2 linked regions of the Oryzias latipes genome follow. The protein of the gene in region 2 purifies or fractionates together with the protein of the main gene of each other region. This does not show direct contact. Links are inferred from orthologs where the notes say so. Each region holds a gene or a part of one and is shown on either strand. Other genes may lie near its edges. The genes, in order: nelfb and nelfa.

What was found.
Region 1: the proteins of nelfa (region 2) and nelfb purify together in Homo sapiens (affinity purification with mass spectrometry; 8 studies listed by BioGRID and IntAct, counting the BioPlex papers as one, with this or other methods). This does not show direct contact. The link is inferred for Oryzias latipes from reciprocal best matches to the Homo sapiens genes NELFA and NELFB.

What each region holds. Positions count from the first base shown.
Region 1 is NC_019871.2:30,111,565-30,116,057, forward strand, and holds the start of nelfb (negative elongation factor B), read right to left. Parts: upstream 2,979-4,493; 5' UTR 2,819-2,978; coding exon 2,717-2,818; intron 2,022-2,716; coding exon 1,861-2,021; intron 1,783-1,860; coding exon 1,683-1,782; intron 672-1,682; coding exon 441-671; intron 1-440. UniProt on the Homo sapiens protein: Essential component of the NELF complex, a complex that negatively regulates the elongation of transcription by RNA polymerase II.
Region 2 is NC_019876.2:18,438,175-18,442,778, reverse strand, and holds the start of nelfa (negative elongation factor A), read right to left. Parts: upstream 2,976-4,604; 5' UTR 2,725-2,975; coding exon 2,515-2,724; intron 2,263-2,514; exon of another isoform or gene 2,105-2,262; intron 1,222-2,104; coding exon 1,050-1,221; intron 28-1,049; coding exon 1-27. Other genes in the region: c18h4orf48 (neuropeptide-like protein C4orf48 homolog), read left to right, coding at 3,410-3,521, 3,868-3,956. UniProt on the Homo sapiens protein: Essential component of the NELF complex, a complex that negatively regulates the elongation of transcription by RNA polymerase II.

The sequences.
Region 1 (4,493 bases), on a different chromosome or scaffold from region 2:
GCTGAAAATGTATCATGAGCGTTTTCGGGAATATTTTAGAATGTCTGTCATTATTTCTCCGCGGCAGTGTAGACGCTACTTGCCGTCTGTCTTCTTTGCTGGTATGTGTGCTCAGAAAGGCAGTTTTGTGTTTGAGCGCCCCCAGGTTGTGTTTTACTGTAACTTCAGAAGCCCCAGACACGTGTGCAAAAGCGCCATTCTCATCTGTCGTCGCGTCAGACCAAAAAAACGAACCCGAGGCGCTTTTAAAAAAATGACGCTTTTACGCCTGGCGTTTTTTCGCGTCGGTGTGCACACTCACATTGGTGCCCTTTGTTTAGTCACAAGGCGTTAAACGTCGGCGAATATCGCGCGCGAAATTCGTCCCGGTGTGTACGGGCCTTTAAGGTGCATGTCTACTGTGAGAGACATCATCCGAAAAAAAAACAATAATCCCTCACCTCGCCTTGGCGTCGTGTTTTGGGAGAAGGGCTGAAGAAATTGTGCAGAATGGAGAGGTCACTGCTGAAGAGAGCTGCTTCTTTCTCCACGATGTACTGCTTTAGAAGGGGGGAGACCTCGTCCCCAAAAAGAGCCTGGTTGTCCTGCCAAATCTGCCTTTTGACCTCCACCGCACACACCTTGTACAGCTCTTTGTCCGCCATAACCAGCTTCAGTTTCTTTTCTGGCACCTACAGCAGAAAAAAACAATAATTAGCTAAAGCTTTTTTTGCCTTTTGCTAAAACATTTGGTTTTCCAAAGATATCAAATTAGATGAAGGAAACAAAGAAATTCCCTGGGAACCATGGAAATGGAAGACTTCAACTGAATGCACACAAGACAAGGATCAAGAATCAGGGTGCACCTTTTTAAAAGGACCTATATCATGAGAGATCAACTTTTTGAGCTTTTAAGTGTAATATAATGTTAATTCCTCACAAAAAAAAAAACCCCAACTTAGTATTTTGATCCATTCACACATTTCTGAGGATTCCTCTAAAAACACACTCTCTGAGCACCAGCCCCTCCAAACCCACGAAAACAAGTGGGTTCTGGCATTCATAGAATAAGTGAGGAACAGCCCCTTCCAGGAAGAGTCGGTGCTGCCAGCCCCCCCTCGGCTAACACACACACTCTCTCCTTGGAGCTAGCAATGTTTGGCAAAAACTGCTTCATTTTAAATGCACAATGTGCACATCCATCTTTGAAAAAGTTTGAATGTTGTTTATTTTCGTGGATGAAACTCAGACACACTGCCGACGCCAAATCTAGGCGGACGTCATGAAATGGGCGGCACCCACAAGGAGCAAAAGGCGGAGCCTCAGAGATCGAGTCCTCTCTCTTCCGGGTAGGAAAAGGAGCGGTGAAAATGACTAATATTTCATAAATGTTTGTTCTTTCATGGGCCAAAGGTAATATATTTTCATATATATGGAAATAGTTCACTTGAAAGGCTTTAGAATAGCATTAGATGGGCCCTTTTAAAGAGACTATTTTGTAATGCATGCATCATAGCAAACTATATCCAGTATTATCTGCATAGTTTAAAATATTGAGACAAATGTAGCTGTAAATGCTCCAGAATAAAAACAGAAAACTTACATTTATGAAGCTTTTCTATAATTAGTGTCCATGTATCCAATTTGTTTCGATAAGAAAATAATAGATATATTTATATTCCTCTTGTAGCATAATATTTTACCTTTGGCAGATGCTTCAGCACCTGCATCACCACCGGCTGAATGGACGGCATTTTCACAAGCGGAAAGCTCTTCTCCAGCAATTCCTCCAGCTTTCCATACCTGAAAAAAGGTACAACAACACTTCAGCATCCATTTACCTCGCTTCTACCAAAAAGCTAGTTTCTTTTGAAAACGTACCGATCTTCCTCCTTGCCATCTGCAATAACAGCAACTCGCTCCATCAACTTGTCACGGAGCTCGTCAAAGACAGACTGATGGAACTCTAACCGCGGAGTGCCGTGGAGGTCCAGGAAAGGAAGAGCAGACTGGAGTGTTGGCAACAGAATCCCATTTTCCATCTGTGATGACATGAGACATCAACAACTGGTGAGGGATTGTTGTAACCACCAAAAGAAATGCAAATGAACAATAATCTGGCCTCAATCGGTCAAAAGATTTTAATTTTATTTGGAGAAAACCCAAACCTAACTTGATAGCTTTGCACCAGCAGTGCTTGAAATGCACTTCTATGTCCTCCATCATGAGAAAAATGCTACAAGAACACGTTAAAAACACCCAAAACTCATTGGAGCCGCCACCAGTGTGTGAATGTGTGAGTGAATGTGTGAGTGAATGTGTGTGTGACTGGGTGAATGGGTCTGTGACTGTAAAGCGCTTTGTCCTTGTAGGAAGAAAGGCGCTATATAAGTATACGCCATTTACTTAAGGGCCAAATTTCAGATTTTTTAGTTTTTCTGATCAAAACCACACTCGCTTTTTTTTAATAGAATAAATATTTGTCTAATTTAGATTTAGAAAAAGGTTTTTCTCCAGACAGACATTTTCATAATTTTATTTTTGGTCTTCAAATATGAAACTCAGTCATTTTAGTTCTATATTTTGCTCTGAAGAAATGAAAACTTATCTAATCACAAAAAATGTTTAAAATGCAGAACAATGCAAGCTAACATAATGTGCAGTCGTCCCGCCAAGATAGAGAACCCGTCTATTCTCTATCTTGTGCTATTATTTTTTCGTTGTTGTTGTTGTTTACCTGAAACTGGTCGATGGCTTTCAGCGGCTCCGTACAGTTGGTGAGTGTTTCCTTCAGATCATCCCCGTTTGAAATGCCGAGCTCAGACAGCCCCGCGAACATTCTTATAATTTAATCAATACGAACCCCACAAATTCAATTTGTGCTAAAAACAGGTTCGTCTATTTTGGCTAAGTTGCAACAGTTTTGTTGGTGCCAAATTAAACGCACAGCTAAAGTCTGAACGGTTGTCTACGAATGTTGTAGCGCTGTAACAGGGCCGCCGGAAACACGGAACCTTATGAAACGTTCCGCTCTTTGTTTCCCGCTGTGGCTGCATTCACACGTACACCATGTTCAAGTAAAATTAAAAGAAACAAAGGCAATAATTCTTTTAGTTTGGCATTATAAGTCAATGTTTTATTTATTTTGATTACATATTACTTAGTTTTATTACTTTATATTGTTTTCAACTGCTGCTTAGACTTTGTTCTAGTTTTCTATTTGTAAAATGCCATGGTGCTTCATATTTTTGGATTTGAATGTTTCAAATGGAAAAAATGAGTAATTTTGAATTTTGTTAGCAAACAAACAAACAAAAAAGAATGTACACCATATTCCAGGGGTGTCTCGAATTTTTGCAAAGAGGGTTAAATTTGGTGTGCTTAAAAATGTAATGCGGGCATTTGGCCTGCCTTCTTTGAAACATTATAACGTTAAATAGAAATGAACTGTGTGATTTTTTATTTTTTTTTTGCAATTAAATACTTTTCATTTCCTCAAATGGACCAGAGCTTTATCTAAATACATTAGCCTTCACTCATCCGCAGATATAGTTTTGCAGAAATTTTTACGCCGGATGCTCTTCCTGACACAACCCTGTATTTTAACTGGGCTGTGGGCCGCCACAGGGCAGGGTGACCGAGATATTGGCCCCCTTGTAGCTATATAGGAAGGCAGTAGCGTCAAGTGTCTTACCTAAGTGAAAAACTGTTTTTATAGTCTATGCTAAGGACCCACACTGGATGAAGCTCATTGCGCCCCCTGGTTTCCCATGTCCCAGTCCTGTCCTCAGGGCTTTAACTAACCAAGCAAGAAAAAATAATTAAAAAATGTTTTTTTTTCTGCTGCTTCTCGCCTTGGTGGAAACACATTAATTGGGTTCTAAAGATGCTCTACCATTTGGTTGAGTAGGCAGTTACCTGAGCTTTAAATGCTCACTGTAAACTTCTAAATTTAAATCATGTGAAAAGGGGAAAAAACACAAATAGTTATCTTATTCAGAACTACAAACCACTGTGATTTTGATCACCGACACCAATAAATCCACTCCTCTTATTCGGCGCATGAGGCTCTAAAGGTCAAGTTGCTACAGGTTGTTGCCACAGGTTTAAAACGGCTAATAACGTAATTTAGCAAATCAAATTCAAGAAATTGTACTTCTTAGAAAGTGCTGAAGGTCTAATGATTTTATGGCAGGACCATGAAGGCGGGTGGAAATTTGAAAGTGGGCCACATTTGGCAGACTTTGGACACGCCTGCCATGTACCAAGGATACAGTGATTTACATGGTAAAATTTTGGTGTAAAAAAAATATTGGTCAAACTATATCAGTGGGACGGCCGTGGTGCAGCGGTAGGGCGGTCGACCCATGATCGCATATGTGCAGGTTCGATTCCCGCCTTGCACGCCCAAGGCGGTGTGGCTGGGTGAAAGGGTCTGTGACTGTAAAGCGCTTTGGGCCTTGTAGGTAGAAAAGCACTATATAAGTATACGCCATTTACCATATCGTTCAAGA
Region 2 (4,604 bases):
GCATGGCCGACGCCTCGCACTCGCTCACTGCGAAGACAAACAAATGAGCCACAGGACACACCAGCAACATCTGTTTGAGTCTGGGAATTCCCTTAGACCTCAAACTCGCTGATGCATGAAGATGGTGAACTGGGTTTCAAACCTTCCACCTCATGTTTGGCAGCAAACTCAAAACTTAATGATAGGAAAAGATTTTTAAAAAAAAAAAAAAAAAAAAACATTGAATTTCTTTGAAATACTTTGCTCCAAACTAATTTGATCCTACTTTTTACCTTTCAGGACCCACTCTGATCATCTTTGATCCGTTTTAAAAGAGTTCATAGTGGCCTTGTATTTATGATTATGTTGTTCCTAGCCAGGATCCCCTTCTCCTGCTGCTGAGTGAAGCAGGGAGCTTGTGACCCGTCCAATGTATTGTTTACATCACAAATACAATCTTTTCCCACCAGCATTTTTTCGTTTTCTCCTGATTCAAAACAATTTCATTAAAGAAATACTCAGAAATGGAATTTTAAGTTGAATTTTCTTTATATTTCCTCCATCACTAGATAAATGCCACAAGAACAAGTTCAAAACAGCAAAAACACAATTTTCATCAGAGTGAGTCTTTACATTTCAACCATGGATATGTTTCTAATTTTTATAACAACATTTTAACCTAATAACACCTGACACAAATAAATAACTGACAAAGTTTATTTCTATGTAACTTGACACTAATAATAATGTAAAAATATTTTTTGTTTAAATAATATATAAAACACCAGAAATCCCATTAAATTTGGGCAATAACAAAACAAACTATAAGATTAAACTAACAAACTAACAAACTGTTCTGTTATAAATTTGATCAACATATCTCAGTATCATATGTATCAAATATAACAAATGTATGCTTTTAAACACAAAGAGAAATAAAATATAAAATATAATAAGAGCGCAGAGGAATCTTTCTTGGTAGTATTTGAATTTCAAATGTTTGCAAACATGTAAACAAGGTTAAAGACTCCAGCATCCCAATAAAAGTCAGGATGGCAGATTTTACCAACCTTTCTCCCTGAGCTCTCCTAAAATATCCTGCACATTTGGATTCTGCTCCTCTAAATCCAGATTGAGAGATCCCGTCTCTGGGAAGGATTTTAGAATATCTGCAACCATCAACACCCATGGCTCTGAATCCACCGTAGCCAGCTGGATGATCTCAGACAAGGCCTCCTTCATCTGGGCAAAACACAGAAGAATGACATTTGATTATCAAATTTCTCAAAAGATATAATTATAAAGATTTTTTCCCCCCCATCAGACAACACATCAAAAGACCACACCCTCCATATTCAATCAAGACGACTTAGTAGGGATAAAAATAATATTTTTCAAAAGATATTTGACATAAAGTCAGTCATGTTTTCCGGTGTTTACTTCAGTAATTTCAGTCCAAGTCCAATCATCTTTTGACTTAATTTAAAAGGATTCCAAGTGGTCTTTTGATTACGATTATACCGCTTTTAGTACATATTTAAAAAACTGTAATTGTCTGAAGAGTGCCAGGAGAAATTCACTTCTAAATTGTGGGCGGGTCTGCTGGTGCAGAGTAACCCCGCCCTCTTCTTGTTTAGCTTAGTTTATTGTTCTTGAACAATTAAAACTTTACAAGGTTGACGAGCAGATAAAATGAAATACATGTTGGAATTTTCAAAAAAAATGATAATTCTGCAAAGAATTTGAGTTTGTATCCCTTCCGCTAAGATAAAAATATACAATCGAGAACAAAATATTTTTCTGCACCGTACGTACTTTTTTAGGAAGGTACAAAAATGTATGTCTTCTAAAAATAAATAAAATAAAACAAAAAAACGACAACTAATTAGGTTTTTATTCTAGGTCGTAAGTAAAGCGATGACTTGGATACGAAAATTATTACATAAAAGCACCAATTGCCTTTACTGGATTCCCCATCACTGAAGCTAAGTCAGAGTTTGGCTCCGGTGAGACTGAGAGGTCCTGACGGGCGGCAGCAGCATGAGCAGCAGAGCAGCATAGCAGAGCAGGTGATATGTCGGACTCAGTGTTGGTTCCGCCCTCCGACCCAGCTAACGCTCCAGCAGCGTCCGTCCCACCACAATGTCTGAACGCCCGCCACCAGGCAAATGCTACCCACTGCCGCTGGGGAGCCGAAGTTAGTGTGGCGTTCAAAACTTTAGCTATGGAGCAGCTTCTCCCGACCCCAATTCAATTTTAGACCACTGCTGACTTGAAGCGAAGGTAAAAACTCACCGAAGATCAATGTACTGAACGAACCTGCGGTTTCTTTTTAGTAGTTACTGAGTTAGCCATAATTAGCTACTACATCCAAATTTCTTTATGTTATGTGTTTTTCTTTTGACATGTCTCTGAGATGCTCTCTGAGTACCTGCGAGATTTTTTTCTGCAACTAGTTGTGAACTAAACTACAACCCTACCTGTGTGAATAATAGCAGAGACTTTTCAAGCTAACCTCTAGCAGCAGCAACCCACCTCGTCAACGGTCCGCCGGGGAAGATGCAGCATCCCCAGGAGCAGTTTTAGCTTTACCGGCGGCGACAGACTGGAAAAGCATAGCCGTATATTGTCGATTACTGACACTGTGAGCAGGGAAGCAATACTCGGAGGTGTCCACAGCTCGTCTGTTGATCCTAGTTTGTTGTGAAGCCACAGGCCAGTGTCGCTGTCCTTCATCGACGCCATCTTGGAAAAAGAAGTGTTTTGAGTTCGGGCATTTTAGCAGGCTACCTAAGAAAACAGCTCGTAGGACCCCGCCCACAAGTGGGTGGTTACGTGTAACAGCTATGTTGATAACTAATGATCACCACATTAAATATTTTTCTATAAAATTGGCATCTCCGCCTTCTTTTCTGTCATTTCCAATGTACCCATACACTGTATAAAATGTTTACATTAAAAAAGTCTCATGTTTCCCTTTTTATTAACACAAAACAAGTCTATTTGCTTCTTTACTGGTTATACGTTTCTTGGTGTGGACAAATAAAAAAAAAAAAAAACTAAATATGTGTCGTTTATTCTGAAAAGCTTGAGGGAAATTCCGGTTTCATTACCAAAGCATAGCAAATTTTAGCCTGGCCAGACGCATGCGCACTTGGTGAATGTTCCTCAACCAGCGCTCGTTTGTCCTCACTGTGATTTCCAAACACCAGTAGCTGGTTGACTGCAGGTAAATAACACTGAGGTAATAATAATCTTTAGGTGACTTGTAAAAACGTGCCTGTTAAGATGGGGTGGGGGGGGGGGGGGGGGGAATTAACAACCTAACCATTACATATTTTGCTAATTAGTTTCCGGACGGCCTTGTAGATTTTTTATTTAAAAAAATGTTTCTTGCCTATCTTGATTCAGGGACCCGACGGCGTCATCAATGGCTTCCCGTGGCTATGCGCAAGCAGCCTTGGTTCTTCTGGCCGTGCAGCTCTTTTGCCTCGGTACCGCCGATGCAGATCAGGAGACGGGGACCGTTATCCCAGCCGAAAGTAGGTAACATTAGCCTATGGGGGTTCTTTCTTTTTATTACTTGAGATGGAATCGGTAATCTGTCAATGAAAACATTATGTTTGCTTATATATGGGTTTCATCCCCCAATGGGACCACACAGGCCTCTATTGTGTGTGTGTACATACATACATACATACATACATACATACATATATATACGTGTGTGTGTGTGGGTGTGTGTGTGTGGGGGTGTGTGTGTGTGTGTGTGTGTGTGTGTGTGTGTGTGTGTGTGTGTGCCTAAAGCCTAAAAAGATCAGTGTTTTTGGGGGGATGGGGGGTCCGACCTCCCTGCTGTGTGTTATTTCTTAGCTGTTGTGCTTTCAGGTCGCCCGTGTGTGGACTGTCATGCCTTTGAGTTCATGCAGAGAGCGCTTCAGGATCTAAAGAAGACAGCTTTCAACCTGGATGCCAGGGTCTGTGACTCCCCAGATTTCTAGAGCTTTGAGTACTAAATCCATAGTCTTAAGGCCCGTACACACCGGGACTAATATTCGCCAGGCGTTATTCGCCAGCATTTTTCGCCACGTTTTTTGTGTTCACACCCAGGCGATTTTCGCTGACGATGAGCCGAGCGAACATGCAATTTCATTCCCTGACATTAGATGGCGCTTAATGTAAACAGAAATACTCCTGTACACAAGGTGGCGCTGCGCAACTTTAGGCTTCTTAAAGTCGCTTTTCCCTCAGAAGAAGAGAGCAAGTATTTACGCGCTAGTCAGAATAATAAAAAGAAAACATGAATATTTCAAGCACCAGTAGCTCCAACTGGTGCTTCGTTCTGGGATATTTAAGAATGTCCGTCATTATTTCTTCGCGGCAGTGTAGACGCTACTTGACGTCTATCTTCTTCGCTGGTATGTGTGCTCAGCAAGGCAGTTTTGTGTTTGAGCGCCCCCAAGTTGTGTTTTACTGTAACTTCAGAAGCTCCAGACACGTGTGCAAAAGCGGCATTCTCATTGGTCGAATAGATTTCGACGCGACCCGTCGAAAAAAAAAAACGAACCCGAGGCGTTTTTTTTTTTTTGACGCTTTGGCGCGTGGCGTTTTTTCGCGTCGGTGTG